Linked DNA regions of Mus musculus. The main gene of each other region encodes a partner of the protein of the gene in region 7 in a complex. Links are inferred from orthologs where the notes say so. Each region holds a gene or a part of one and is shown on either strand. Other genes may lie near its edges.

Region 1 (3,458 bases), on a different chromosome or scaffold from region 7:
TGGGTAAGACTCCTATAAAAAAGAAAGTGGACTGAAAGTTTTCCTGGCAGAAAAAGAAAAAAAAAGAAAAAGAAAAAGAGAAGGAGAAGGAGAAAAAGTATCTGACTTTTCAAATCTAAGACTATGAGCCTTTTGTCTTTCTTCTCTGTGTAGCCTTGGCTGTCTTGGAACTTGCACTGTAGACCACAGGTCTGCCTGCCTCTGCCTCCTGAGTGCCAGGACTAATGTTAATGGCATGCACCACCAGCACATGGCCCTTTTCTTGCCTGAACATGTCTGTGTACTGAGTGTGTGCCTGGTGCCTGTGTACTTCAAAAGAGAGCATCCAATCACCTAGAACTGGACTCCTACGGAAGGTTGTCAGCACTCAAGGATGTGTTGGAATTAAGCCTGGTCCTCTCTGCAGGAGCAGCCAGTGCTCTTTAGCAGCTAAGCCACCTCTCCATCACCAGCTACTTGAATGTTTTTGATTACATTTGTGTGTGGGTGTGCACACATGTGGGTGCAGGACTCAACCAATCCTGTGGAGAAACAGGACGGCAACAGGCAGGAGTCGGTTCTTTCTTTCTCCCATGTGGGTCCTGGAGAGGCCCCCACAGCATACACAATAACAACAATAGTAAGACAGAACTATAGCAATATAGAAGTAGACTAGGAAGGAGTTAAGACGAGTAAGAATCAGAATCACAACTGAGTCTTTTCAGTCTTTATTACCACACAATGCTGGCTCACACCACCATTGTAAACCTTGTATATCAATGGCAAAACAACACAATTTAAAACATATGAAGAAAACAACAAATAAATAAAGGAATAAAAAATGTTTCTCTAAAAAAAACAAAAAAAAAACAAAAAAAAAAAAACAAACAGCCGGGCTTGCGTGTTATCGCACGCCTTTAATTCCAGTACTCGGGAGGCAGAGGCAGGTGGATTTCTGAGTTTGAGGCCAGCCTGGTCTACAAAGTGAGTTCCAGGGCAGCCAAAGCAACACAGAGAAACCCTGTCTTGTATTGAAAAACAAAACAAACAAACAAACAAACAAACAAACAAAAAACAAAAAAAAAAAACAAAAAAGAAAAGAAAAGAAGAGAAAAAAGAAAAAAAAAGCAAAATATTATGAGTTGTTTTTTGACCTTTCCTCTGAAAAGCTAATTTATTCCAGTTCCCTCTTTTTGAGTGGAGGGAGGACTTGAACAAATCTCCATATTATCCTGGGTCTTTCATTGGAAAAGCCTATCAAGAAGATGAACAGTCAGGTTTAATAAGGACCTTGCAGGCACTTAGGCGGGAAGTACAGGGTCCTGAGTTCCAGGGTAGCTAGTTTATGTAGTGAATTCCATGGTAAAACCCTGTTGCAAGAAAAAAGAGACATTACCAAGTGAAGGAAACAGTTGAAAGGAACCAGGTCTCGCCATCATCTTCTGGAAGGAAGTGGGCCCGGCTGGCAGCAGTACCTGGGCTACTTTCGAAGTCTCTCACCTCCCAGGTGGGGACAGGCCTAAAAGGCCGACAAACTTTCTTCATCACATCAGCCTTTTGGGGTCTATTTTTTCCAGGTGAACCAGAGGTTTGAGCTGCTCTGCAAAGTTCCTCATGTCATCAGAGACCATGTCCTGCCCAGCCGGGGCGACAACACTTAATTCCACAAGATAGGAGAGGGACAGGGCCTCGGTGCTGTCCGTGTTCCCTGGGACCAGGATTCGGAAAATCTTGTACACCACAACCTTCATGATGCCCTTCCGAAACAGGTGTCCTTTGGCGACAAACTCATGGTCCATGCGGAAGCCCATCTCCATCAGGAAGTCCGTGAGGTTCTCAGACGTGGCGATGTCCACACAGTTGCGCACCAGGGCGTGGCGGTTCTTGTCTCCCATTTCGGGCTGTCCCAGGTATCGCAGATGCCAGGGTGCCCCTGCCCTGTCCATGGAGCGCCGGGCCCTTAGGACGAACGGGCTGGCCTGCTGGCCCTTAAGCAGGAAGACCATCTCGTGATCAAGGAAGGTCTCAGGCTCCATGTTGTCACACAAACCTCGGAGGCGATGGATGAGGCTTTCCAAACTGTGGTCCAAAACACTTCCTGAAGAGGCACAAGCACAGTGAGTCCCGGCTTTCATTTCATTTAGGGTCATGAAACCAGCGAAAGATACACACACCAAATAAATAGTTCTATGCAACGTTTTCTAAGAACAATCCATGGGATTCTATTTATTTGTCTATTCAAAACGTTTTATATTTAGTCATTCTTGTCTCGGCAAACTCGAGAATACAATGGCACATAAATGTTGGTTGGAGGATAACCCGCTAGAACGGATTCCCTGTGGGTCCCAGATTGAACCCAGGTTGTCTGACTTAGCAGCAAATGCCGGGTAGTGGTTTGCATGACAGTAGCCCCCACAGCTCCTGGATTTGAATGTCTAGTCTCTACTTCCTATTGTTTAGGGAAGGACTAGGAGGAACGTCCTTGTTGGAGGAGGTGTGTCAGTGGGAGTTTTCAAAAGCGGGCCCCCATCTTTCTGTCAGTGGCTCAGGCTGTAGCTCTCAGCTACTGCTCCAGCACCTGCCTGCCTTAATGGGATGAAAGGGGTGTTATCACCATGCCCGGCTTCTTGTTCTGAAGTATAATTATATGAAAAAGAAAATCTGAATTTGTTCTACAAATGGAAAAATTGCATTGGCTATAAATAAATCATTGTGGCTGGGTGTAGATCTGTGAGAGACCATGTGCTCCAGATGCAAGGCCTTGCTGGGGTTTGATCAAGGCACCAAGAGGACCAAGGCTGAGGGATGGAGCTTAACGGCTGAGGACTGACACAGAAGGCTCGGGGTTCAATTCCTAGCACTATAAAATAATAAAATTAAACAACAACAAAGATTAAATAAGATTAAACAGTTATTTAACTGAGCCAGGCATGCAGGCACTCAGGAGTCTGAGGCAATAGAGTCGCTGCAAGACTGGGGCTGGGAAAACCACTCAGAGGTAAAGAGTTTGTACTGCTCTTGCAGAGGCCAGAGTTCAATCCCATCCACATCAAGTGGCTCACAACCTGTAACTCCAACTCCAAGGATCCCAGCACCTCCTGCCTCGCATGCATGTACCATCCCCTGAAACACATGCACAGAGAACTAAAAATGGTATTTTAAAATCTTAAAAAAAGCTGGGCAGGGGTGGTGCATGCCTTTAATCCCAGCACTTGGGAGACAGAGGCAGGTGGATTTCCGAGTTGGAGTTAGAGGCCAGCCTGGTTTACAGAGTGAGTTTCAGGACAGCCAGGACTGCACAGAGAAACCCTGTCTCGAAAAACCGAAAAACAAAAACAAAAACAAAACAAAAAAATCTTAAAAAAAAAAAAAAACAATTAAAAAAACTGAAGCTCCAAAAATAAATATAAAGATAAAACCACCACATGTCCCCTGACCTGTATCAGCTGTTTTCTTTGTAACCAAAAATGAGAAGGAGA
Region 2 (3,932 bases), on a different chromosome or scaffold from region 7:
GACAGAGTACTCAAGTGGCCATTCTTCAAGTTTGATCTCATGTTTAAAGCCAGTCAACTGTGAGCTCAAATGGAAAAGAACAAGAACGAAGGGACTGAAGGGACAGCTCAGTGTCAGTGGTTAAGAATGCTTGCTGCTAGCCGGGCGTGGCTGCGCAAGCCTTTAATCCCAGCACTCCGGAGGCAGGGGCAAGCAGATTTCTGAGTTCAAGGCCAGCCTGATCTACAAAGTGAGTTCCAGGACAGCCAGGGCTATACAGAGAAACCCTGTCTCGAAAAGAAAAAAGAAAAAAAAAAAATGCTTGCTGCTCTTTCAGAGGACCTGACTCCATTCCCAGCACCCAAATATACCTATGACACAATATCCAGAGGAGCTGATGCCCTCTTCTGGCCTCTATGGGTACCGCACACTCAAGCACACACCCCTGCCCTACCCCCAACACACACACACACACACACACACACACACACACACACACACACACACACACACACACGCTTAAAACAAAATCTTTTTTTTTTTTTTTTAAATCAAGATTGCTGCCGGGTGTGGTGGTGCACGCCTTTAATCCCAGCACTTGGGAGGCAGAGGCAGGCGGATTTCTGAGCTCGAGGCCAGCCTGGTCTACAAAGTGAGTTCCAGGACAGCCATACAGAGAAACCCTGTTTCGAAAACCCAACCCTCCCTTCCCAAAAAAATCAATTGCTGGGAATGCAAAGAAGGCAACTACAGCTAACAGGATGCTAGATTGTTTATGCTTCTCTTCATCTTTAGAAGCTGAGAGGAGCTGAGAGTCCACATTTACCACTTAATTAAATTAACGTCTGCGTTTTCAGGCAGCCAGTACAAAGCAGAGTAGACAGACTGCAACAAGACCAAATACAGACCAGAAGGCCAAAACGCTAATGCTGGTAAAACTTTATTACGATATGTAAAACACCTCAGGTTTACGGAACAACAGTAAATGACTAACAACCAAAGCAAGAGGAAGCAACAGGAGCAACCGGATAACTGAGCCACAGCAGGAAGGCGTGATGAGCTGTCCTGCCAGCTAAAGCTAGGAGACAAGAATGACCAGTACCTCAGAGCCACTACCCAGATGCGCTGGCAAGTCTGCCTAGCTGTGCTCTGAGGACAGGATCCTAACTGACAGCCTACACTTTGTAGATTAACAGCTTTCCCGAGCCTGTCTTTGTGTTAAATGTCTCTGTAGTAGGTGAGGCAGGTAAGTAATAGTGTCAGTGAATTCAAGGCTCAAGCAAGATAAGACAACCTAGGAGGCACCCTGAAAAACCTGAGTGTTGAGTGTCAGGAACATGTGTCCACAGTGCTTTGAGCAACTCTGAAAACCATCCCTCTCAATCTCGCTCTCCTCAGTGGACTGTGGGTGCAGAGCTACTGAGCATCCTGTAGGAAGGAAAGCATTTTGGGACAGTATGATATAAGGAACAGTAAGACATAGGAAGCCAAGTTCCTGGTAACGCTGTGGAGTTCATGTTGCCCTGGGAACTGAATGCCTGTGAACTATTAATGAAAAATAAACTGTGCAGTAAGAGTCCTCTGCTTTTGGTTCTGCTACAGCGGCCTGGCCTACAGGGTCACAGAATTTAAAACAGTATGAGAAGACATCAGTGTCCAAAGAATGAAAGCGACACTCTAGCAGCCAACAATCCAGTCCTGCCACCTAACCATCTCCAGGAGAGGCCAGCCGCATCCTCAAGCGAAGGGGAGCCCCATACAGCACAGGCGTCCAGCCGATAACAAACCCTCAGCACCTGGGACACACACAGCTCCAGTGCCAACAGCGACAACCCTGTCCTACCTTTTGCCCTACAGCTTTTCCATTCTCCACAGTTACCATTCTTGAGGACCAGCCAAATCCAGTTAAAGCATGAAGTAAAAACCAGCTGTGATGGGCTCAGGAGGGAAGTCCAAAGCCCCGGAACACAAGCTACAGCTGGGAACCAGCTGGGCCAGGGGCCCAGGACCGAGTCCAGCACGTGGGCCTGGGCATTACCCTGGTGACAACTCAGCAGGTGGGCAGCTGCCAGTCACTAACGGATCCCAGCCACTGGCACTTGCTGCTGTTTTCGGATCTTGTTGAAGAGTTCCATGTACTGTATCATGGTATCTGCTGGCCCATAGACCGCATCGTGTCTGTTCCCAAATACTGTGGGTGCCCCTGGTGCGTGGCTCCCTAGAAAACTCTGTAGGAACTCAAGCAGGAGGCTCCAGCAGTCACTAGCCACCACACAAGGGCCATACTCCACCTGGGACAAGAGAACAGATAGCCAGGGTAAGGACAAGGACAAGCTTGCTTTCCTCCCTCCTGCTGCTGCTGCGATCCTTCAGTCACAAGGTGAAACCATTACAGTGTTGGCTTGGGAGCCTCCAAGCAGAAAAGAAACTGGCACTAGGGTCCTTTTCCCTACCTGCGATGCTTCCCAGGCTCCTTCCTATGGCTTTTACTTTGTGACAGGATCTAACAGTGCAGCTCAAGCCAGCCTAAACCTCACAATCCTCTGGCCTCCATCTCTGAGGTGCTGAGACAGTAAGCATGCACCAGCACTTCCCGCCTTGGACTCCTTATTGCTCTACAGGTTCCCATTACAGTCAGCAAGACTCTCAACAGCCTGATTTCCTAAGCCTAATGCCTTTCTAAACTCACTTCAAAAGTTTGTGTTTCAGCACAAAGTCTGAGGGCTGAAGGGTAGCAGACATTGCCACAGCCGCCAACACGCAGCTTGAGTGCCCCGCACCGCCTTTCGTGGAAGTCTGAGCCATCTGTAGAGCTTTCCTCCTTGTTCCTGCAGTCATGTCCAGGAACAAGAATGCTAACTTACCAGCTGCCCGACTTAACAGATTCAAGAACAGGGGAAGGACAGTACAGAAATGCGTCGCCGCCGAGTAGAAGTTAATGTGGAACTCAGGAAAGCTAAAAACGATGAGCAGATGCTGAAAAGGAGAAACATCAGCTCCTTTCCTTCTCTGCACCAGGAAAACCCGAACAACCAGGGGACTGTAAATTGGTCTGTGAGGACACTGTTAAAGGCATAAACAGTAACAATTTGGAAAGCCAGCTCTAAGCTACTCAAGCTGCCTGGAAATTGCTTTCTAGAGAGAAACAGCCTCCTATAGACAACATCATCCGGGCTGGTTTGATCCCAAAACTTGTGTCCTTCTTGGGCAAAACTGATTGTAGTCCCATTCAGTTTGAGTCTGCTTGGACACTCACCAACATTGCTTCTGGAACATCTGAACAGACCAAAGCTGTGGTGGATGGAGGTGCTATCCCAGCGTTTCTTTCTCTCTTGGCATCTCCCCATGCTCACATCAGCGAGCAGCTGTATGGGCTCTTGGAAACATTGCAGGTGATGGGTCAGCTTTCTGAGACTTAGTTATCAAACACGGTGCGATTGACCCACTGTTGGCACTTCTTGCAGTTCCCGATCTGTCATCCTTGGCATGTGGTCACTTAATCTTACCTGGAGGCTTTCAAACCTCTATCGAAACAAGAACCCTGCGCCTCCCTTAGACGCCATTGAGCAGATTCTTCCTACTTTAGTTCAACTCCTGCACCACCATGACCCAGAAGTACTAGCAGATTCCTGCTGGGCCATTTCCTCCCTGACTGATGGTCCAAAGCAGCGCATTGAGATGGTTGTGAAGAAAGGAGTTGTTCCCCAACTTGTGAAGCTTCTAGGAGCCACTGAACTGCCCACTGTGACTCCCGCTCTAAGACCCAAAGGGAATACTGTCACTGGAACAGATGAGCAGACTCAGAAAGTGATAGATGCAGGAGCACTTGCAGTCTTTCCCAGCCTGCTAACAAACCCCAAAACTAATATTCAGAAGGAGGCCACATGGACCATTACATTACATTACAGCTGGACACCAGGAACCAGATACAGCAAGTAGTGAATCACGGCCTA
Region 3 (3,764 bases), on a different chromosome or scaffold from region 7:
CACTTTGTGGTTTATGCTGTTTCTTAAATGTTCTGTGATAGTTATTATATAACTATCTAAAACTGATACTTATATAAACATCGTGGACACAGATGTTAACTACGAGGTAGCTAAAGAGTTAAAAGTGACTGTTTTTTGAGAAACTACAGTAAGAGGCCAAGGCAGGTGGCTGCAAGTCCCAGACTAACCTAGGTACCTTATACAAGCAGGGAGACCCAGTCCTGTAAAAGATGAGAAAAGTCACAAGGAGACAAGGTGATGGCATGAGATGGCCATCTATTCTAACTTTCCTTATCCTGTGTGTATGTGTCTGTGTAGTATGGGGTTGTAATAAATGTTTTCAGTTTCAACTTAATGATCTCAGAGACTTAATTGTGACTATGAGTTAAGATAGTCATTTTATTGTATATACTGTATCATATATACCAGAATCTTATTTTATTATAAAATACATCTGGATTTTTTTTCCCCAGACAGGGTTTCTCTGTACTCCTAGAACTTGCTTTGTAGACAAAGTTGGCCCCAAACTCAGATCTGCCTACCTACCTCTGCCTCCTGAGTGCTGGATTAAAGGCATGTGCCACCACTGCCCAGCTCAAATTCAACTGGATTTAAATGTTTCCTTCCTACACTGAAGGTGTACCTAAATTTTAAAAATATTTTTTAAAAAATTGAAAAAAATTAAATACAAACAAAACCAAGTTTATTTACACAAATTACAGTATTTACCACATATATATATTGAGTTGTTCAAGTGAGCACTTCTGAAGTATCACACAGCGCTCCGATGCCTGTTCTTATCTCTGTTACCCTGGTGGCTCAGCTCATTCTGTAGCTCAAGGCGGCCCGACACTCACAGCAATCCCTCAGCCTCCCAGGTGCTGGGACTATAGGTGTGAGCCACCACGTCTGGCTCAGTGCTCTTTCTAAGTATGCTCCATGAGTTGTGTGAGTTCCTCTTCAGTCTCATGCCAGGGCTGCTATGTACAACCAAACACTACAGTAATTCTGACTAATCCTCAAACATTGTGTAACAGATAGAAAACCAGGGGCTCGGGCTCTAGGAAGAAAACCCGCTGATTTTCATGGGCTCCTTAGGTCTGTGCTTTTCTTTCCCCCTTGACAGAACTCTGCCGCACTGGAGTCTGTGCATGCCACACCTTTCTCAGTCAGAGTCGCTACTGCTGCTCGAAGAGTCTGTTGACATAACCTCAACATCATCTTCATTTTCTTTGTTGTGCCCAGGAGGCTCCAACAGAAAGTCACTGCTGTGATTTGGTGGCAGCATGTTCACAGACATGTCATTTGACTGCCATGGGTACTGCGGAGCAAGGACATCTGGAGAAAAGAGGCACATGGGATTAGTCCTACTTGTGATCAGCCTACTCAAATCCCCTCCCTCTATGCAAGTACCTTAATTCTATCTACCCACCCACCTACCTTGTAGTACCAAGGATCTAACAAGGTTAGGGATTCGCAATGCTAAACACAAATAAGCAGATTCCCAAATCCACACTTTAACACAGTGTGGCCCATGGCTACAATGGGCTTCAGAAAGCACAGTCCCCACTATGTCCTCTCCTTAGGAAGGTTCTTCCACATTAAAACACAGCACCTACAAAATGTGCTTATTCTATTTGGGGGCATGCCTCTCAACTGCAAAAATGCTCTTCAGAGTGGTCACGACAGGGGAAGGCCAGGCCTGGGGAGGGTGCCAGGAAATAGATGCACATGAGGGACATAGGGGCTTAGGTCAGTGTCCTGTGCATCACTGCAGGGTCTTTGGATGACAAACTGGCAGGGAACCTGTGTAACAGATCTTGATGTCCACTACCAGACAGTGCCTCACGGGCACCTCTGTCTGCTTAAAAACACCCATCCAGTTGGCATTACCTGGCAGTCTACCTGCTGCAAGGGCATCTCCCGGGAGGTGACCATTCACACCACTGGTGGAAGGATTGTTCATCTGACCCAACAATCCACTTCTCATCTCTAAATCGGTTGGGTATGGCCTCCGAGGGTCTCCTAAAACAGTAAAGACAGCTTTTAACTCAGGCTTTCAAAAAGCATTTATATGTTCTTGAAGAATGAGCTGCCCTTAGTTCACACTAAAAGACGCAAGTGCTTTGTGAGCCTCAAGCCTGCAGTCCTGCCTCGGCCTCTTCAGTACCTGCCTTTGCAGTATATACTGCCACACACTGCCTGAAGCTACAGTGGAAATCCTTAAGCTGGGCACGGTGGCACGTACCTTTAAGGCAGAGTGAGGCAGAACTCTGACTTCTCTTCCCAGGCCAGCCTGGTCTACAAAATGAGTCCCCGGACAGCCAGGGCTACACAGTAAGGGTAGAAGGGTAGAAGAGGGTAACACCTGACATTCCTTCCAACACTGAAGAAAATGCCTTTGTTAGCAGATGTTACTCTAGATGAGTACATTCTACGTTAAATGATCTTATTTAGATACCTCAGTCCTTTCAAACCTGCATTCATCTGATGTAAGAAGCTCTGTTACCTGGAACCCAAGTCAGTGGAGCACAGACAGCATTGCTTGCACTAATCCTGTGCGCATATTTAATGATTTCTTCAGAGGAGATAGCACCTGAGTTGAGAAAATAGAACAGTTCAGATCATTAAACACAAGTTTAGAAGAGCATACATACACACACCATATTTAATTTCAAACTATCAGGAAATAGGATCATCTAAGCTGTCCATCTCCCAAACACCTGCACATACACAAAAACTGTTATAAATACATTTCTGAACCTTGGAACCAAGATACCCACCCAGCAAAGTCGGCTAACGTAAATTTAAGGCCAGCGTGATAATGCTCAGTCATCTCGATTACTAGCCGCCATCAAGTGCAGAGTCTTCTGAATGCCACAGTGAGGGACAGTAAACCAAGGGGAGCGCTTTTCATTCCAGCAGCATCCAAGCTGCTGACCCTACAGTCTGCAGCCTCTGTGTGACTCCCAAGGAAGAGGCTCTAGCAGATTGTGCGCCAGACAGTCATAGCTTTCCATTCTATAAATTTTAGACCTGTTTCAAAAAGCACTAAGGAGTTCTAACCACCCCTGAGCAATGGACTCAGCCTCCTCTCCTAGAGACTTGCTTCTGCTACAGAAGCCCACCCGTCTCTCAGAGAATATGAGCTGTTTTCCTGAATGTAACAATCAGAAAATAGACTCCATACTGGCAAGCAGAGAACAAATCAGAGATGGAGAAATGGCTAAATGTAAACCAAATGCACAAAGTATTAAAGTGAAACAGCTGTAATTTCACTCTTGGTATAAAGACCAACTAGACCATGTAAGGCTTTTAAGTGGGCAGGAGGCAGGCAGGCAGGCAGGCAGGCAGGCACAGTGTACTAGCTGATGGTCTCTGACTCTAGTGTTTCCTTCTCAGTTTAGCTGTGTGGTTCCCAACATTGTTTCCTCCTAGCATTCAAGATCCAACTTCAATTTTGCTTCTCCTTCTTTCTCAACACTTCTGTAAACCAGTGTCCTCACTATACACCTGAGATAAAGCCCCATCCGCTTCTCTCATTGGTTATAAACTAACGGAGGGTTGTGAGCTACGTGTACCCTCTTCAGGATGCAAGAACACATCACACGCTACACTGAGTAACTACTGAGCATCCTCCCAACAGCCCGACTGGAGTAGTTTTTAGTTTTATCAACTAAATATTTTATTTTCATGTGCATTGATATGAGAATGTGTGCATGTGTGTGTGAAAGCATGTGAGTGTGGGCACGTACACAGCTTAT
Region 4 (4,756 bases), on a different chromosome or scaffold from region 7:
TCTACACAACATGGTGGCACACATATCTACACCCACACCTACACTCCCTGCTCACACAGAAAATTTTAAAGACCTTAAAAATTTTCAATTTAGCTGTCAAAACTCTTATCAAACTAGAACTTGGTTCCCTCCGAGAGTATCTAGTCAAAGATACACTTACACTGAGTTTAAAATAAACATAACCAGTAATTTTCATAAAGGGCTATAGTTTCTTTCTAAAGTATATTTGGCCCTAAAAGTCAAGAAAATAAAAAAAAAAGAAATATTGATGTGCTCATAATAAACCGTTTCTGTACAACCTTTCAGATAATGACCTTTGTCCTTTAAAAGTTAATGAGATGGCCCTTGTCCTTACTAATATACCCTTTGACGAAGCAGGGTCTAAAGACCCTCCCACCCCCCACCCCCCAAAAACAGCATATGCCTCCCCGAGTTAATACATAATCATAAATAATATTAAAATACAACTATACTTTTGAAAATCTATGCCAAACAAAGTTACATTTCTAGGCCTGCCCACGGGGTCAGACAAAAAAGAACACAGCAAACTAGACTCAAAGGTGAGTTACACTTGGCTTCAAGACTATTATATAACTGTAAAAATAACATGCTTCCAGATTCCATTTTTCTCAGGTTAATGAAAATGCTTTCCCTAGATACAAACTGCCTGTGAGAAATTACAGAAAGAAGCCGGGAGGTAGAGGAAGAAACTCAGTCAGAGTTCAAGTCTCCTGGAATCTACACAGGTAACTTAAGGAAACCAAAACAAAGATGGTGAAACAGAGCATGGCAACCCTCTTACAGATCCAGGCTGACAAGGCCGTCCACCACAGCAGAAGCACATTGGGAAAGTGTACAACATTGCTAAGGCACAGTTAAAAAGGATAAAGTGCTTTCACCTGATAAGTCATGGTGAATAAGGTCAGCAAAATTGGGATCTTTACCCCACCAAAATATCCACAATTCTCTTCTTCCAGGTCTTTGATCTCGCCGCCAAACACCAAGTACATCTGCCTTAAGGCATCGACTAAAACTGCTCAAAATGGGGTCTTCTTCTGTCACCGGAAACAGAATAGGGGCGGAAGTTGGGCCTTGCCATACATATCTTTTCCACTTAATTCCTGTCAAGTCGGCCTGAAGGAAAAGAAAGCAAAATATCTATATTATTGTTCATTCACTCTAAGTAATAAATATTTGTTATTAAGTATAATAATATAAGTATACTATTTATATATTTATATATAAAATATATATTCACTATAAAGTCCTTGATTTCATTAAAACATCACTATTTTTAATGCATGCTTAAGTACCTAAAGATATGACCAAAATAAACAACCAAACAAACCAAAAACACCACAGCAAAGAATTCTAATGTTTCAACCAACAAGAGCTTAAGGAAAAGAACACAAAACTGTTACATAAATTATCAAAGATGTCACTGAGTAGCAAGTCTACAATAAATGCAACATATCCAGAGCTGACCAATGAGACAATGATGCTAAGCCTGCACAGTAAGTCTAGCCTCCTCCTCTGTCCTACAGTCCTCTCTGTCAGTCACATTTGATCCTTGGTGAACTGGAAAGTAAAGACTCTCATTCCAGGTTTGTAAGAAGTCATGGCTCTAATACGAAAACCATCTGAATTTTTTTTTTCTTAAGGAAAAAAAAAAAAAGCCTGTTAATTCTCCACAAGCACACAGCTCCAAGGAAAGAACCACTTCCAAAGAGCTGTCAGATTTGTGCTAATCTAGCTTCAAAAAAAAAAAAAAAAAAAAAAACCCAAAGTGCCAAAAATAGATCCAGTTGGGGAAGACAGAAACGTTAAACCTGCTGTACATCTTACTACATGTGACGAGATGCTGATTAATGGACATGTCAAGAAAACCAGTCTAATCTGTAAGACGTAAGTGTGCTGAAGATCCCCATTTACCACATCGTGAAAGAGATTCAACAAAGGAAATTCAGTAATTCCTTATTCTAACTTAGTGACAGAAAGCATAAGGTGCCAAAAATGAAACTGCTGATACATGACTGGCAGTTTATGCTTGCCAACTAGTTATGCTCCACCCACTTAATTCACTTACCTATGATAGACTTAATATTTCTCAGAGCACACGAAAAATGAAAAAAGTCACTCTAACTTAGTCATTCAGGAAGCTCGGCTATCGTTTAATTCAGGACTAGATATTTGCAACAGTTGGTACTTTTGACAAAAGTCTTAACTCTTGAGTGTTATCCGATTTGGGCCGACCTACATACACGTACTAGAACATCCCTAATTCCAGCTGCCCCAGACTTTTCAGTTCAATAAAAGGAACAGCCAGCTCAAAACATTCTTAAAACGTAAGCAAAACAGACAAATATAGAACGTTTAGTGCGAAACCACAGTACCTCCTCCACTTGCCCCTCCACTCTCACAAAAACATAATGTTCTAATAAAAGCAAGATGGCTAGAAATTGTCAAAATGGCAAAATGTTTTCAAAGTTTAAAAAGAAAACATATGAACCGGCACACACTGTTTTTACACAAAGATCTGAAGTCACCCATAAGGACACTACCCCTGTATTAGTTTAACTTACAAAACGAAGAGGGTTTTAATACGTAAGTTTTTGGGGGGGTCCTGTTTAAGAGAAGCCCACTTACAAGGGAAAAGCGAGCTTAAAGGCAGTCGAGCAGGGGCAATCGTGGAAAGTGTGGAAAAGGGATACACTGTTCGATACAAGGGGCGGGGGGCGGGGAGGCGGGGAAGCAAGAAGCACACAAGAAAATATTACTATCCGGGCAGATAAGCAGCCCAAGTTAAGGAAAAGACTAGGATGGGGAAAAGAGTCCAAAACAAGACAGGAGGAGGAGAAAGACCGAGGGGGTGGGGGGAAAGACAAGCCTCTTCCCAGCAGAGCCCCGGTCGGTAGGTGAGCGGACGCTGCCTCCCGGGGCGGCCGCAGAGCCTCGGAGGAGGCCGACTCCGGCGGGGCCTAGCCGGGGGACACCGGCATCTGGATGCGACCCAGACCCCCTCCCCCACGGCCCAAGGGCGCACGGCGCGGCCCCCTCCCCCACCGCCCGCGGCCCCCGCACTCACCAGGCAGAAGAGGTTACAGTGACAATCTTCCAGGCTGGCCCCGTTCGACACGAAGGAGGAACTCATCGTCCCTCACAGCAGCCGCCGCCGGCGCCACAACCCACCATCCGCCATTACCGCCGCCTCCGACCAGAGAGAGAAACACAGACACCGGGGAGGGCGGGGGGCGGTGGGGAGGAGGCCGCCGGGCCGCCCGCCCTCCCCGCCGCCCCCCGGCGCCGCCGCGGCCCCCGCCGCCCGGAGGCACCCAGCCGCCCGGGGCCGAGGCCGCAGGCGGGAGGGCCGCGCCGCGCTCGGCCGGCCGCCGGGACTGCGGAGCCCGCGGACGCGCGTCCCTCTCCGGAGAGGAGGGGAAGGGATGTCTGTCCCTTCCACCAGAAAAATAAAAAAAGATTTAAAAGAAGAAAAGAGAAAAAAAAACGAAAAACAAAAAAATAATAATAACAATCAGGTACACGATAAATAGTCAGAGCCCGAGTCCGAGCGGGCCGAGCCCAGAAGCCCGGGAGGGTTCTCCGCGGCCCGGGGACGCCCGCGGAGGGGCGGGAAGGGCGAGGACCGGCAGAGCACCCCGGGCCCCCGGCCCGGCAGCGGCGATGTCCTTAAGCCCAGAGTCTCCTCAGCGGCGGAGGTGGTGGCGGCGTCTGTGGGCTCAGTCCATTCTCCGGCTGTGTCCTCGTGTTGTCCCTGGGCCAAGCCTGCCTAACGTCTGCTCTCCTGCCGCCTCACCGCCTGGACGCCGTAGTCTCCCCCATTTTGTGGGCCCAGCGGGCGGTGTTTTTCCCCCTTTAATCCGAATTCACGGGTTTTCCCTTCGCTTTAATGGCGGCCACAGGGACCAGCTCGCCCTCTCTGCTCGCCCATTGGCCGCCGCGAGGTCACGTGGGCCGGGCTCCGTAGGGAGGGGGGAGAGAGAAGGCGGTGAGGGAGGGCAGGGAAGCTTTCGGAGCCCCGGGGACCGGGCGGCCAGCTGGTGGCTACTAACATGGCGCCATCTGCTGGATGCCCCGGTTAAGATGACCCGAGTCTTGGCCCTAGCTTTCTGCTGGCTGGGGAAAGTGCAGCAGCGCAGGAAGGTTCACTTCAAAATCGAGAATTACTTGGAAATCAGTTCAAATTCTTTGGAAGAGAAAGTTGGCAAAAAAAAAAAAAAAAGAGAGAGAGAGAGAGAAAAAGAAAAAAGAAAAGAAAAAGAAAGACGTTCCAATGCATTCTCATTCACTCCATAAGGCCGCCGGGGTACATCGCAGAACTCTAGGGCTAAAGAATGAGAGCTGGATAGACACCAGCCTCGCCCTCTCTTTTTAAGTTATAATAAAGAGGTAAAAAAAATGAAACGATATGGTCTTGTGGTTAATGAACTAGAAATAAAGTCCTGCTGTTCAGGATTCGAAGCTGGAGCCAGTCTTTTACCTCTTTGTGACTCAGTTTCCTCATCTGTAAAATGAGGAAAACAAATGTTATGTTTGTTATATGATGCATGAATACAACCTGAGCACTAGCCTCGTGCCTGCGCCCGATAAGCAGTGTAAGGCATGCATTACTATACTTCCATCCTTCCTTTCTGTGGTTACTTTGAGAAACACGTGAACTCTGAGAGTGAGAATCAGGAGAACTGACCCTTTGTTGCTATAGCTGTCCAGTGCCTTAAAATGTTCTAGCACACAGTAG
Region 5 (5,026 bases), on a different chromosome or scaffold from region 7:
GGAAGCTGGGACAGCCCACATTAGCTCTCTATCTACTGGGGCTTGCGGGAAAAATCTTCAGATATAGGCCACATTTCAGTGGAAGACAGGCACCCACAATACCAGTAATGACAAAAACAAAACAATCCTTCCAGAGCACGGAAGACTTGTCAATTTCTCAAAAACAGACCGGGCAAAGTATACTGGGGGGGGGGGGGGGAGAAGAGCAGGGCAGGGTGTGAGGGAGGGAGAGGGTCTTGTGACATTTGTTACTGTGTCATGAAACTTCACTGATGAGAGAAAAAAGTACCAACCTAAGACCAGAGCAGCCTGATCAACACAACTACGATGTTCAGAAGTTCACTGTGGGTTCAGACCATATTATCTTCAAGTTTCCTGATAGGAAATACACCTTGAAAATTGAGAACGTGTTGACCACCCAAGACAACAGGTGTGCTAACTCACCCGATAGGGACAGATGATCCTGGCAAAGAGAAAATAAAGCAAAGCTTTATGAAGATCTGACGGTGGGGGGGAGAACAAAAAACAAAAAAACTTCCTTGTTAGGCTAATGGGATAGAGCAAGGAAGGTACAGAAAGTTGCACACCAAAGACTCTGCCTTCCAAAAGGTTTGCCCTTTGTCTACTTTGTGATAGCACCACAATTATGATTCTAACATTCAAGTGTAAAGACAGGTTCTGTAACTCACAGTGGACAATGGCAAGGTCATTTTTACTGCAGAATCACCGTTTAAACTACTTAGTCACTGACTCCCAGGTACCATGACTTCTTCACAATACTGCTCTGGTCCTACGGCCTGCTGTGTCCTGACTCTTAACTGTATTCACCCACGACTGCAGGTTTTTATCAGATAGTTTGTTTAACTGAATCAGACTTAAAAATGCTGAATTGTTATGTTTATTGCAGTGAAGATAACAGAAGTGAGAGCCTTGTTGCCCTAATATCTCTAACTATACACCCAAGTCGAGATATGCAAACTTTGTCTATGAAGGAAATTCTGAGAACACAAAACAGTATCACTTAGAAACCCTACTATTTTTTTGATCTCTTCAAGTCTTTCTCACCTGTTAAAGAGCACTCTTGCTGCCTGCCAGACTTCACGTGATGGTGAAGTAAGATCTGCTCTGCTTGTTTAGAAAAGGATGCTAGCACTAAGGACTCACATATTCTAGGTAATCTGACAAATGTAAAGCATACAAAGTGGAAAAACAAGCAGCAGAGTCCACCACAGGTTTGGCAGAGGACTTTATTTACTGTTATTTTTAAACATTTTTTTAAAAAGACCTAAACTGGGCATGATGGTTCCCGCTGTAGTCATGATGGGTCATGCTGTAGTCCCTGTGACTGAGAAGCTCGATAGCTCTAAGTTCAAGGCCAGTTTGGACTACACAGTGAGGCTGGGCCAGCCGGTGCTAAAGATCCATCTTTAAAAACTAAGTAAATATTTTTAAAATATATAAAAGTGGGAGTAAGATATGGTAGTGGTCTGTGAGGTATTAGAGGAGTGTGGAAGCGGGTATGATCAAAACACATGTGTGTTTGTGTGTGTGTGTATAAAATTCTCAAAGAACAAACATATTCTGAGAACTAAGGAAAAAGGGTCTGTATTTAGGGTGCTTTTATATGGTACATGATATACTATTTTTTCATGTCTGACTCCTTTTGGTAGGCATATGTTGGAACCTACTCTGGAAAAGAACATTTATATGCAAATGTCATATGCCTTATTTATTATTCTTTCCCATAATCAAACTACATATGGTATCTATTAATCTCATGTCGTTCACTTTCCTTTTTACTGTACAGTGGTCTCCAAACCCAAACACTTAAAACTCTCTTTACATCTTGACAAAAATCACCATTGTTGCTGGGCAGTGGTGGCGCACGCCTTTAATCCCAGCACTTGGGAGGCAGAGGCAGGTGAATTTCTGAGTTCGAGGCCAGCCTGGTCTACAGAGTGAGTTCCAGGACAGCCAAGGCTACGCAGAGAAATTCTGTCTCAAAAAAACAAACAAACAAACAACTATAACAAAACACCGTTGTTAAATTTCATATTTCAAATATTTTCCAAGGTTTCTGAAGGAAGCCACATCTTACAGTATAGTAGAGTTAGTATAGTACAGTTTTCTTAACACATTAGCAATTTTTACATCTTTTCTACATAAATTTAAAACCTAAATCCCAACATATATGGTCAAAATAACCTTTGCTTTTTCCAATTTAAGTACATTATACAATGAGAAGATTCTTGAGTGCTTTCTCACACTGATGTACACTGCCAATACCTTAAATCTGAGGGAAGCAACTCCAAATTCTTCAGATTGTCTAACTGTTAGAGCTAATTCAGGGTGTATATACCTAGAACACGAAAGTCTACTTGTAGCCACTTCAAGTCAACACCTGGCCTAAATTTCATCCCCCGAAGGCTTTTGAAGTTGGGGATCTGCGCTTCCCTTAGCCACACCCACACTAAACCCGCAGTTTCCCGAAGGTTTTTAGTAAGTGACAGATCCGCATCCTCACTCCAATCATCAGGACGGTACGACTACTCCCAATTTGACTATAGAGACAAGAAGCCAATTCCCAACGTGCAGAAGGGGGTGAATTGTACAACGGGAATCCGCATTAGTTTTTTCGGGCGCAAGTGCAAACCCCCGTAACTTGGGCATCCCGCGTTAGAGCGGGCCACCTTACAGAAACCGCCCATTACCGGTTCAAACTGAACTTTTCAAAGCCGCTGGAGGTCGTGACTCGCTAACACTAACAAGATCCAGTGTCTCGTGGGTGCTTTTTTTTTTGGGAGGGGGGGGGTCCGCAAGCTCAGACACTTGGCTCACTTTGTCCCCGTGACTGGGTCCCCGCGGAAAGTCTGGTACAGGATGAATCCGGCTCCGACCCAGGCTCTCGCTCCCCTCCCCCAGCCCCCGCGCTCCCAGGCGGCTACTGTCACTTTACCAATGGCGACAGGGCAGGCTAAGACCACGACATTATAAAAGCCCGTGGCGTGGGGACGAGAACTCGGACCTCCCAACCTCCCGTCTGGCTTGTCGTCCGGAGAGAGCGGTACTCGGTGTACCTTCGGCCGGCCGCCTGCCTCAGGCCCCGGGGAGGCTTCGCGGAGGAACCGGGAGGAAGGCTAGCCCGGGCGTCCCAGGCTGTCCCGCGCCGGACTTCGGCGCTCCACGCCGGGAGAGACGCAACCGCGGGGGCGGAGAGACAGACTTAGGCTGCGGTCGCCAACCGCCGCCGCCCGCTCACCTCAGCTCTTTCTTGCTTTTCCGGTAGTGACTTTTCCTCAGCGCAGCGGAAGCACAAGTTCCGGTTGCCTTCTCAGGAAGAAGCCTCTGACGCGGGCCTCTCATTGGCTACCAAGGCTGTCCTATAGCAGGTCCTACTCCCGCCCTAAAGATGTTGCACATGCGCACTTTCGCATCTCCTGCTTCTCTCGGGAAAGATCCGCTGTCTGGTTTCTTGGTCAGGTCAGGAGAATACTTCTTCGTACTTTTTGTTAGTAGAAGAAAGTACTCTCTAGTAATTCCATTCCTTGCAGCCCCCACTTTTATACGAGACTTTTAAAATTAAATACTTGCCTTATGTAAAAGTCAGAAAATACAGATAAGCAATATATTTAAAAATTATACTAATGTAATCATCAAAAATGTTTTTTAAAAGCAAGATTGTACTCTATGATATATTCATATATATGGAGATATTTGTGAACATGATTAAGAATAACATCCTAAACCTTCATTTTCCCCCTTCCATTCACTTTTATTTTCATTTAGGAATTCAAAGATGTCTATAACAATCCTTCCACAAATTGACAAGTGAAAAAAACTTAATATAATTTTTTAAAATGGAGGGAGTGGGTAATTTCACTGTGTAGCCCAGGCTGGCTTCAGATGTCTCTTCCCAGCCTCTGGAAAGCCAGAGGTATAGAAATGAGCCATCAGGACTAGCAAGAAATATTTCCATTTTGGCCTTTCCCTGAGGGAGAGGAGGAGGGGGAGGGAGGAGAGAGAGAAGAGTTGTTAACAGATGATATGGGAGTCGTAAGATGCAGTGTTGCAAACTAAAAGTAAGATAAACAGCTCTGCTTCACAAACAAGAATGTCTCAGTTTCTTCCTTTAAATATGTGGAGCATTGCAGGCATAAAAACAAAAGAAGAGTCTACTCACTACCAACTTCCATAGTTATATGAGCCCCATCATTTTGTCTCTAGTCTGGTATGAACCTCTAAAAGGTAAGGGCTCTTCGTTTTTTCCTATACCCACAGATTTATTATCTTACTGAAAGTGTACTAGGGGTTATTACACTGATAGAATGAATGTGTGTATGCACATGGATATATATGTATATATGACTTATCCGAGTGACTTACAAGATGCAGTTCAAGTAGTCCAGCAATGGCTGTCTCAGCCCTGAAAGGCTGAGAATCCTGTAGTTGCTCAGTCTAAGAGGCTGGATGTCTCAACAGACCCCCACCTGGCATTGGAGACCTGGAAGATTCCTGGAGAGCCACAGGTCTTCAGTCCATGTTGGAATCCCAAAGAAGTTTGGTTCTAATACTGGCAAAGGAATGGCACAGCAGTGGTACAGATGAAGTTGCCAGTGAGTGTTAGAGCAAGCAACCAAAGAGCAGTTTCCTTTCTTCATGTCCTTTTATCTGGGCAGCCACAAGAAAATGCCACTCAGTCTTTCTGCTTCTAAAGATTAGCCATCACCCAAAGATAAGTTCATGGGTGGAGAGCTTGCCTAGAATAATACATATAAGACAACCCCAGTACTACATAAGGGATAGCCATGTCATGTTAGGGACTGGTTAAAAATACAGTTTAATGAATACTTTGTTTTGTCTATTATTGACTGTACTTGCAAGATCTGAATGTTAAAGACCCAAATGTAACCTCAGTGCATGGAGGGTAAAAACAGAAGGATCTGAAATTCAGAAACTCAAGGTCATTCCGGCTACATAGTTTAAAGTCAGCTTAGGCTGTGAGAATTTGGAGGGGTAGCTTTTAAAA
Region 6 (4,978 bases), on a different chromosome or scaffold from region 7:
AACTATCCGAAGCCTGCCAGCATGATAAACCTTAACCTCTGGCATAACTGCGAGCTGAGCCTTCTCTTTCCCAGTCTCAGCCCCATCACCCACCACTATGGTAAAAGCAGGCCCTTCAGTGTTAAAGGCACCTTGGGGCAAATACTGGCTCTGCATGTTTCTCCATTCCTGAACAGGGAAAGCAAGAATGACAATTTCCTGAGGATTCTACCTGTGTTAGATACTTAGAGAACTTAAACTTCCTGGATCCCACCCATTTGTGGAAGGAGGTTAAATGCCCCACTAAATGTGACACTTCACTTACGCCTCTGCAACACCTATTATAATCCAATGTTCATTTAGTCCCCACAGCTAAGGAGTCTCTGTTTTACCCTCTGCATCCACCCTAACCCTCAGCACAATTCTGGTTGCAGAACAGCACTTGCTTCTTCCTCTCTTTTGGGAGCCTAGCCTCTCTAAACATCACCCTTTCTTCTTGGTATTCTGTTTCTACCCTATTCACTCATAGGGTTTTCATGTGTGTAGTTTATCACATCCTCCCCATACACGGGTGTGTGTACTCATACATTATACATATATAAGATCACACCCGTGTCAGAGTGCACGTGTGCAGGTCAGAGGACAACTTGTAGCTGTAGAGCGAGCTCACCTACCTGGGAGTTCTAGCCCCAATACTAGCTGCACAACTATGCTTCTTTTAATAGTGGCACCTCAGTTTCCTGAAAAGAGGGATGATAATGGTGTTTGCCTTATAGGGTTGAAAGAACTGGTAACAGTAAAGAGCTCAGAATTGTGGCTGGCATACAGTAAGAATTCGACAAGTAGCCATTGCTATTTGTATCGTTACGCACATGCATCAACCTTCCCTCCTACAAGGCTATCCCTCTGGGGTCCTGGACACGCTAGCCAAATTTGGTACCTCCTCGGATCCGCTCGTTCAGTTGGAAGGAGTAGTCCTAAGGTATCTTTGCATGGCATGACACCTCACCTGCTCTGACTTCAGTTGTCTGCTCTGTACATGACAATAAATACTGCCAGATTCCCTGCTGGAGTCTGAATGTCAAAACATACATATAGGGTTCTTTGCATCTAGGGGGTGGGGGGTGGGGTGGGGGGGCGGGTGCCTCGTCTGCCTTTTCTGCCTTAACTTGTGATCCCCAAGCCACATCACAGAACAAATACTTTTATAAAGAAGGAAGCAGGGTCTGTCCTAAGTTAAGACTGGCCAGAGGGTTGTAGGGCTTTGCCAAGAGCACGAACGCTAGAGCGAAATCAACTCATGCTATTGATTGCATTCCAATAGATGAGATACAAAAAACCCCGCAAAGTCGGTCAGCTTCGGCGTGGCACAATGAAAATCCCAACTAATAACCAAAACACGAGTTTTTATCAGCATCACTATCGCTAACAAGTCTGTGGATGGGCGACGAAGATCAGGATGGCATCTGAGTAAACAAAACAGCAACGGCCTCCTTGAGGCTCCGGAGGGTGAAGGCTGCCACACGCCCGCCCTCGGGCCTCGGCCCCGCGCCCGCCCATCCCTCACCTCTGGCTCGGGGCGCTCCGAGGCCATCACACAGCCCTCCCGCGCCGGCCCGGGCCAGGGAGGTTGCTCCACTCCTGACCTCTGACCCGGCTAGTTCTGTACCGGGCAGGAACCGGAAGTTGTTGGGATGGTCCCGTTTTGAGTTTTCTGATTGGTGAGCGCAGCAAGCCGTGCGAGAAACCGGAAAGGGAAGTGGTTGCGCCCGCCGGGCCGCGGCAATGCAGGTGAGAAGCGGGTTGGGCCTTATAGCCGCTGGCGGGAGGGTGATTGGGCTGAGGACACCGGGGAGTTGGGGCTGTGAGCGGAGGGCAGAGGAAAGGCAGCGGAGCCAGAGAGAGCGAGGCCAGCTGCGGGAGGCGCGGGCATCGAGCCCGCTGATGTGAGAAGGTCGGAGGCCCGGGGAGGAAAGGCGGACTTGATTGAGCGTGGAAAAGGATCGTGGTGGCATTTGGGAAGGCTCGGGAAAGTAGTGGGCTGCCGCACGCCTCGATCTAGGCTGTTGGACACAGGCGTCATAAGGCTTCAGAAGGCTAAAGGGATCGTGGGCCTCCAAGGATGAAAACTAAGCTGTTTGTAATTCGAGGCTGTGGGTGGAACCCGGTGTCCAACCCCCTCAGTCACATAGTCAGGTTTGCAAATCAGCTTTGCATCATTCTTCCCGGCTTGTACCTCGTTGCTAAGGGCGGAGAAGTGGGGTAAATAGTCCTCAGATAGTCAAACGGAAACCCTCTGCCGCCTCAGCGTTTAAAATTGTCTAACACTCAGAAACAATGTGCAGGTTTCCTCGCCTTTGTCTTTCATTACTCTTTCATTACTCACTTGGCTTGTTGCATCTGATAAACCTACACTGTTTATGGGTCACCCGAATTATGAAAGAGACACGGGAATATTGGCACAAAGATGCACGTTGACTTTCCAAAGCACCAAATGCTATGGATAAACGGCCAGTTGGGGGACCGGGAAGGGGATTGCAGAGCTGGTATTCAGAGAAAACCTTACAGAGAGGCAACGTGTGAGATTGTCCAGATTGTGTGGTTGACAGTAGCTACACTCACAAGAGGATGACCAGAGGCACCCATGATATAATGAACTTCGGGAATTATTTAGGCTGTGTGTGCAGATAGCACCCCTGTTATCATGGCAAACCTTTCTGAGGTGAACTGAACTTCCTGAAAAAAACAAAACAAAACTGTGTCAATGCCAACACCACAGAGTGACACGAGGGATTCTCATCCACCCAAGGAAAGCAGCGCAGTGACAATAAGCAGTCGTGAGGTAGGCAGGCCACATCTATTTTCCAGAAGAGGAACTGACAAAGAAGAGTGTGCAGAAACCTGAGCACGTTCCTATTAACCCTACTGCAAATCTAAGAGAATGTTGTCTACTGGGAGAGGCAGTGTTTGAGAGCTGGGAGGAGGAGAGCATGGAATTAAAAAGGTGCAAGGCTAAGTGAGTTCGAAGCCAGTTTTGTTACAAAGACAAATCATGAGGTTTCAAGCCAAAGAGAATTAGGTCTGGTGCAATGACCTTCTTGAAGGACCACAGTGTAGGAGGGTTATAGAGGAATCAGTTAGTAGGAGGACTTCAGGCCAGGTGAACAGGTTGAAAGGTCTAAGGGTTGATGCTATCTGTAACCCAAATACCAAGATAGAAAACAATTTAGCTTTTCTGAATGTGTCACGCTCACTTGTATCTGAGTAACCAAACACACTGTTGATGCAGAGGGAGGAGAAGCAGCTTGAGGCATCATTAGATGCCCTGCTGAATCAAGTGGCCGATCTGAAGAATTCACTGGGGAGTTTCATTTACAAGTTGGAAAACGAGTATGACCGGCTGACCTGGTAAGGATTGCCAGGACAAGCTGGGGAGGGATCCATGGGTGGTGGGGCCAAGCCCCCTGGCTGACAGGACATCTCCAGCGATGTACCCATTTATCAACTTGCAAATATCCTTTTTGATTTGGAAAGAACTAGGTTGCCCAACATTGACAAGTTTAGTTTGGCTTAAAGCCTCCATGGCAAGGAAGTAGAAAAATGTCCAGTTTCCCAACCTAGGCTGTTTCTAGGTTTTAATTCTTACGCTTTGGCTTCCTTAGTGAGGAGGCATTTCCTCAGTGGAAGACCATTATAGCTCCATTTATGGTGGCTCTCCTTCCACACATGAGGCTGGATCTGAGATCCAGCCTTCTGGAATGATAGAGTCTGTTACTACATTAGGGAGGAGGCTTTACAGACTTACTACAGTGTAACCACAGCCCCTGTTTCCACTGCTCCCAAACCCAGTCAAACAGTGGGTTGCCTTTTTTCTGTATCTATGTCAAAAATTGAAAGTGTGTTCCTCTTTCCCAATTCCATCTCTACTAGCAAATCTGGTTCTTGCCTATGCCAGACACAGGGCTGCGAGTCTTCGGGGTGAGTCTGAGTGTTGCAGCATTAGGACTTTTAGAGGTTACTTTGTAGGGAGAAGTAACTCTGGTGACTTCTCGCCACCTCCAGGCCCTCTGTCCTGGACAGCTTTGCATTGCTTTCTGGACAGTTGAACACTCTGAACAAGGTCTTAAAGCATGAGAAGACGCCACTGTTCCGAAACCAGGTCATCATCCCTCTGGTGCTGTCCCCAGACCGAGACGAAGACCTCATGGTAAGACACACAGTATCTTGTTGACTGGATCCTCTGTGTGGCCATGAAAGGTGAGGGCTGCCGTCTGGAAGACTTGTTTTTATCCTTCTGGGGTCAGGAGAGTCCCCCTTAAAGAATGAAGTGAAAATCAGGGCCTATCTCACCAAGTCCACGACCTTCCTTTTCCAACATCTATGTCAGGCAAAAAGAAAAAAGTCTGTCCTGCTTGCCTGTGACTTTGCTGCAGTCTTTAAAATGTGGGGTTGAGAATTTAGCTCAGTGGTAGAACAGACACAAAGTCCTGGGTCCCCAGAATAGGGGTGGAGGTAGAGATTCACAAAAGACCAAAACAAAACAGCAAAAAAAGACAATTTCAGTGTGGTAGTGGAGGGTGGGATTTAGCTCACCCTAGTTCTGATGGAGTGAGTGAGTGAAAAGAGAGTGTCACAGAAAGCTATCCCTACCTCCGGTTGTGTTGTCTCTGGAAATGCGTTTTCTGATGGAAGGGAAGTGGGGTTAGAACTGGCCTACTTGGATAGCACAATAGGATGAATCCAATCTATATTACAGCGTCAAACTGAAGGACGAGTGCCTGTTTTCAGCCATGAGGTCGTTCCTGACCACTTGAGAACCAAGCCTGACCCTGAAGTTGAAGAGCAGGAGAAGCAGCTGACAACAGATGCTGCCAGAATTGGTGCTGATGCAGCTCAGGTTGGACTGAGTCACTGGCCTGCTACCTCATCCTCATCCTTCATAAGCAAGACTTTACCAAGGCTGTGTAGGGGTGTGGGGTTGCTCACAGCTAGGCTGCCT
Region 7 (3,845 bases):
CCAGCTCCCCAGTCTGGACTCTCCGGCTCTGGCTCCTTCCTGAACGCTCACGCTCCAGGAGTGTCCACCTGCTGGCCCTGCTGGCCCTGCGCTGTGGCTTTGGCTATCTACACCTAGGTCCTTCTGGCTCCCAATTTCTGCTTCTCCTTCCAGGCTCCTCGGAACCCTGGCTGGGTCAGAGGCATTCTGGGCTCTAACCCCTTGAGTGCACATGAGCTGTACACTTCCTGCCCACCTGCTCCAAGTCTCCCAGAACCAGGCCCACCATGCTGCCTCCAACTCATCCCAGGGCCCAGCATCACCCAGCCGGGGCCTTGGGGAGTCTGCAAGGCGAGAGCAAAGACAGCCCTCGGGGCGTCAGTCACGGGAGCCGGGCATTGTTAAAAGGAACTTTATTGGGTGTTGGGTTCAGATGAGGTCCATGAGGATGTCGTCCTCCATGACGCTGGGCTGCAGGCCCGGCTGGGGGACCGGGCCCCTGGGACCCCCGCTCAGCAGCATCTGACCTGGGGGGCAGCGGGAAGGGACTGCATCTCCCAGTGGTCCCTGGGGCCACTGAGGACCCTGGGCCTCTCATCCCACTTCCTCTGGGAACCCAAGGCAGTAAGGTTTCTAGGAAGCTCCATGGAACGCCAGAAGTCCTTCTAAGCCCCGCTGAATGCAGACACTTTCCTTTGACCCTTCGGGAGCCCTTCCCCCACACGTGTAGCTTCACTGACCCTAAGATATCTTCCAGCACCCCAGGATCAGAAGGTAAGGATTGTGGGAATTTTTCACCCACCACAAGAGGTCTTGCTCTTATAGCTGAACTTCCCAATGTCCCCTTGAGCTACGGGAGGCCCTTTGGTAATAGGGTCCTTACCAGTGGCTTCAGGGACTCCCACTCTAGACCCCTATCCTCCCCTGGAGCACCCTTACCTGGCAGTGGCGCCCGCTGGGGAAGCTGTGTGGGCCATGACTGGGCAGGTGGAGGATGCAGGAGCTGCGGCCCCAGCTGGGGCTGCCCCATGCTCTGATGTGGTGGCAGCAATGTAGGGGCCCCTGGAGGCTGTAGGTGGTGTAGGGAGGCCTGGGGCGGGGGCACCCCAGTCTGGGGCTAAGGAAGACAAAGAATGACTCAGAGGGCCTAGTGTAAAATCCGGGAAGGTCCACCGCCCTGGGAGCCTTGTCCAGCCCACTACTTCCTCCCAGAGATACTGGGTCAGAACCTGCAATTCCCTGCTTCTTTAATCCCAAGTCTCACCGGTGCTGGGTTAAGGAGAAGGCTCCGCAGCTGGGGGTTGGCCCCAGGGTTCTGGGGCCGCAGGATGGGTCCAGAAGGAGGTGGGCCAGGGGCTGCTCCAGGAGGACCTTGAGGTGCGCCTGTGGGGGCCTGGGTAGCACCTTGGGGCTGGGGCTGCCCTGTAGCCGCAGAAGCTCCCACGGCACCCTGAGGCTGAGGCTGTGGTGCACGGAGCTGTAGCTGGGGAACAGAGGCATGAAGAAGGACAGTAGGGTGGCCGCCCCAAGTCCACCCACCTCCATCCCCAACCCCACCAGTCCCCACCCGAGTCCTCACTAGATTCTGCGGGGGCCTCGCTTGCTCCTCCAGAATGGGGCCCAGGACTGGAGGTGCCTGCTGTGCCCCCATCTGCACGGGGACAGAGAGGACAAGTCAGATGAGGGACGGTGACTGACCCTGTCCTGTCGGGGAGACCCGGTGTGTAGAAGCAGGCTGCCGTTTTCTGGGGGCAAACCATCAAGGAGGTGTGCCACACCCTGCCTGGCTGTAAGGTGGGTCCTGCATCAGGAATCTGAAGTGGATACTGAAAAGGGACTAAGACTGCTCTGCTAGGACACAGGGGACATGGGACTCAGGCAAGATCTCTGGAGACAGGAGGCCATGGTGACCAGCTGGCCTGGCTCCACACTCACCCCGCGCTGTTGCTCCAGCTTCTGCTGCTGGACCTGCTTGTGGTTGGTGATGACCTGGCGGATGCCATTGACGAAGCCGCTCTGGTCGTAGGGGATGAGGCCCATGAAGATCTTCTTCTTAGACGAGTACAGGAGCATAAGCACGCGCACCTCGCATGGGGCCGTGTGCGGGAAATGCACGCAGCCCGCCTGTGGACAGAGACTCTCAGGACCTGCCCACCAGGGGGCTCCCAGATATCCCTCCTCACATAACACTCTACAAGCCCTGTGGGCAAGAGGTAAGGAGATCTCTCTGCATAATGCCAAGGTGGGCAGGTCTGCTTGGCATCTGCCCCAGAAGACAGAAACTGAGTGTAAGCAGTGAACCCGGTAGTCAAAGGGCACAGCAAGATCGAAGCACCCGCTGGCCACTAAGAAGGAAAGACAGCAGGTCACATCAGAAACCCACGGTGACCCTGACTGAGCGCCTCCACCTCCTTGTCTCACTTCAGCACAGCGCTGGACGGCCTCCCCCAATCACACTGGAAAGGGGTCTGCTGGGGAGGATGCCAGAAAAGATGGAGTAAGACCTTTAAGGGTGGCTCTATCTCTCTGCCAATGTCCACGAGCATGGACCAGGGACAGCAACATCACAAGGCAGCCATTTCGGGAGTCAAGGTGCCCCCTCAGACTCTCAGGGGACTGGCTTTGGCTACCATGGTTTCCTTCTCAGGACCTGGGTTTGCTCGGCCTGCAGCTGCTGCTCACACTGTCCAGTACAGAACAGGGTGGTGCCAGTGGAGCCGGTGAGCTGGTGAATGCCCTCCCCTACAGGGGGTGCAGCCTAGCAACCCAACTCTGGCCCAGATTAAAGGAGGCCTGGCCAGAAGTTGTGGACATTTCTCATTTTCTGAAGAAGGAGATTCAGCCATTGCCTCTTCCACATGCTTCAAGGTTGCCCAGAAGCTCAGGTTCTGTTCTGTACCTACAGTCTAGGCATGGCATCACTGGGCTCCCTGCTGGGTCCTGTTCTACAACAAGAACACCAGTTCCTGTTACCCTCTGGAAACATTAACTCAGAATCCATCATCTGCACCGATGAGCCCACCACCAAGGACCTGGGACCTGCTGAGCAGCCAGATGACAGCCCCAGCAGGATCCCCAAGTGCTTGACCCCCACCCACAAAAGAGAGTACAGGTGAGAAGGGCTGTGAGGCTGATGACCAACAGTACTCTGCCTGGGAAAAAGCAGGCACAGAAGTCACTGTGCCGGGGCCGGGCGTGGTGGCGCATGCCTTTAATCCCAGCACTCGGGAGGCAGAGGCAGGCGAATTTCTGAGTTCAAGGCCAGCCTGGTCTACAAAGTGAGTTCCAGGACAGCCAGGGCTACACAGAGAAACCCTGTCTCAAAAACCAAACAAACAAACAAGAAGTCACCGTGCCTCAACCACGTACACGGGCGCTGTGTCTCCCCAGACACTAATTTCAACCCACTGGCACCCAGGAAGCTGAGACGATTCGGGAGATGCCCCTACAACAGGTCAGATGAGTTGCAAGGGCAGGCCCTATCCAACAGAAAACAAGAGGGGCAGAGAAGTCAGGCTCCACTGCACAAGCCTACAAAGGCAACCCAAGGGAGCCTGGGGCAGCAGGACGTCCACGTGGAGGTGTTGCTACACAGTATGTCTTATCTCAGGGACTCAGTGGGCCCTAGGACACATGTACTTAAGCAAGGACGAGGTTCTATCTGCAGTGCCACAATAAGGCACAGGGTGCGAGGATCAGCAGCTCCTGGGGCTGGGTCCCCGGGGCCCTCACCAAGTTGGCAGAGAAGGGGACAGGAGTTAGTGCACTCACAAAGCCATTGCCCATGATGCGGTAGAGGCCTTTGAGGGACTCCAGGTCCTTGTTGGTGAAGTGGAACTGAACCATTCTTGAGTTCCGGAACAGCG

The links.
Region 1: Med25 (region 7) and Med18 share a complex: the UniProt entries of both Homo sapiens proteins name them as parts of the mediator complex. The link is inferred for Mus musculus from reciprocal best matches to the Homo sapiens genes MED25 and MED18.
Region 2: Med25 (region 7) and Med20 share a complex: the UniProt entries of both Homo sapiens proteins name them as parts of the mediator complex. The link is inferred for Mus musculus from reciprocal best matches to the Homo sapiens genes MED25 and MED20.
Region 3: Med25 (region 7) and Med4 share a complex: the UniProt entries of both Homo sapiens proteins name them as parts of the mediator complex. The link is inferred for Mus musculus from reciprocal best matches to the Homo sapiens genes MED25 and MED4.
Region 4: Med25 (region 7) and Med13 share a complex: the UniProt entries of both Homo sapiens proteins name them as parts of the mediator complex. The link is inferred for Mus musculus from reciprocal best matches to the Homo sapiens genes MED25 and MED13.
Region 5: Med25 (region 7) and Med7 share a complex: the UniProt entries of both Homo sapiens proteins name them as parts of the mediator complex. The link is inferred for Mus musculus from reciprocal best matches to the Homo sapiens genes MED25 and MED7.
Region 6: Med25 (region 7) and Med8 share a complex: the UniProt entries of both Homo sapiens proteins name them as parts of the mediator complex. The link is inferred for Mus musculus from reciprocal best matches to the Homo sapiens genes MED25 and MED8.

What each region holds. Positions count from the first base shown.
Region 1 is NC_000070.6:132,458,037-132,461,494, forward strand, and holds the end of Med18 (mediator of RNA polymerase II transcription subunit 18), read right to left. Parts: intron 2,078-3,458; coding exon 1,524-2,077; 3' UTR 693-1,523; downstream 1-692. UniProt on the Homo sapiens protein: Component of the Mediator complex, a coactivator involved in the regulated transcription of nearly all RNA polymerase II-dependent genes.
Region 2 is NC_000083.6:47,621,223-47,625,154, reverse strand, and holds the end of Med20 (mediator of RNA polymerase II transcription subunit 20), read right to left. Parts: exon of another isoform or gene 2,271-3,932; coding exon 2,055-2,270; 3' UTR 904-2,054; downstream 1-903. UniProt on the Homo sapiens protein: Component of the Mediator complex, a coactivator involved in the regulated transcription of nearly all RNA polymerase II-dependent genes.
Region 3 is NC_000080.6:73,515,468-73,519,231, reverse strand, and holds the end of Med4 (mediator of RNA polymerase II transcription subunit 4), read right to left. Parts: intron 2,597-3,764; coding exon 2,510-2,596; intron 2,026-2,509; coding exon 1,894-2,025; intron 1,339-1,893; coding exon 1,166-1,338; 3' UTR 687-1,165; downstream 1-686. UniProt on the Homo sapiens protein: Component of the Mediator complex, a coactivator involved in the regulated transcription of nearly all RNA polymerase II-dependent genes.
Region 4 is NC_000077.6:86,354,375-86,359,130, forward strand, and holds the start of Med13 (mediator of RNA polymerase II transcription subunit 13), read right to left. Parts: upstream 3,223-4,756; 5' UTR 3,152-3,222; coding exon 3,086-3,151; intron 1,135-3,085; coding exon 900-1,134; intron 1-899. UniProt on the Homo sapiens protein: Component of the Mediator complex, a coactivator involved in the regulated transcription of nearly all RNA polymerase II-dependent genes.
Region 5 is NC_000077.6:46,435,243-46,440,268, reverse strand, and holds the start of Med7 (mediator of RNA polymerase II transcription subunit 7), read right to left. Parts: upstream 3,309-5,026; 5' UTR 3,078-3,308; exon of another isoform or gene 2,957-3,077; intron 464-2,956; 5' UTR 294-463; intron 1-293. UniProt on the Homo sapiens protein: Component of the Mediator complex, a coactivator involved in the regulated transcription of nearly all RNA polymerase II-dependent genes.
Region 6 is NC_000070.6:118,407,617-118,412,594, forward strand, and holds the start of Med8 (mediator of RNA polymerase II transcription subunit 8), read left to right. Parts: upstream 1-1,720; 5' UTR 1,721-1,764; coding exon 1,765-1,770; exon of another isoform or gene 1,771-1,933; intron 1,934-3,268; coding exon 3,269-3,387; intron 3,388-3,909; coding exon of another isoform or gene 3,910-3,957; intron 3,958-4,041; coding exon 4,042-4,186; intron 4,187-4,735; coding exon 4,736-4,876; intron 4,877-4,978. Other genes in the region: KICSTOR complex protein SZT2, read right to left, coding at 1,547-1,573. UniProt on the Homo sapiens protein: Component of the Mediator complex, a coactivator involved in the regulated transcription of nearly all RNA polymerase II-dependent genes.
Region 7 is NC_000073.6:44,879,009-44,882,853, forward strand, and holds part of Med25 (mediator of RNA polymerase II transcription subunit 25), read right to left. Parts: coding exon 3,751-3,845; intron 2,104-3,750; coding exon 1,915-2,103; intron 1,631-1,914; coding exon 1,559-1,630; intron 1,463-1,558; coding exon 1,244-1,462; intron 1,097-1,243; coding exon 919-1,096; intron 507-918; coding exon of another isoform or gene 409-506; exon of another isoform or gene 1-408. UniProt on the Homo sapiens protein: Component of the Mediator complex, a coactivator involved in the regulated transcription of nearly all RNA polymerase II-dependent genes.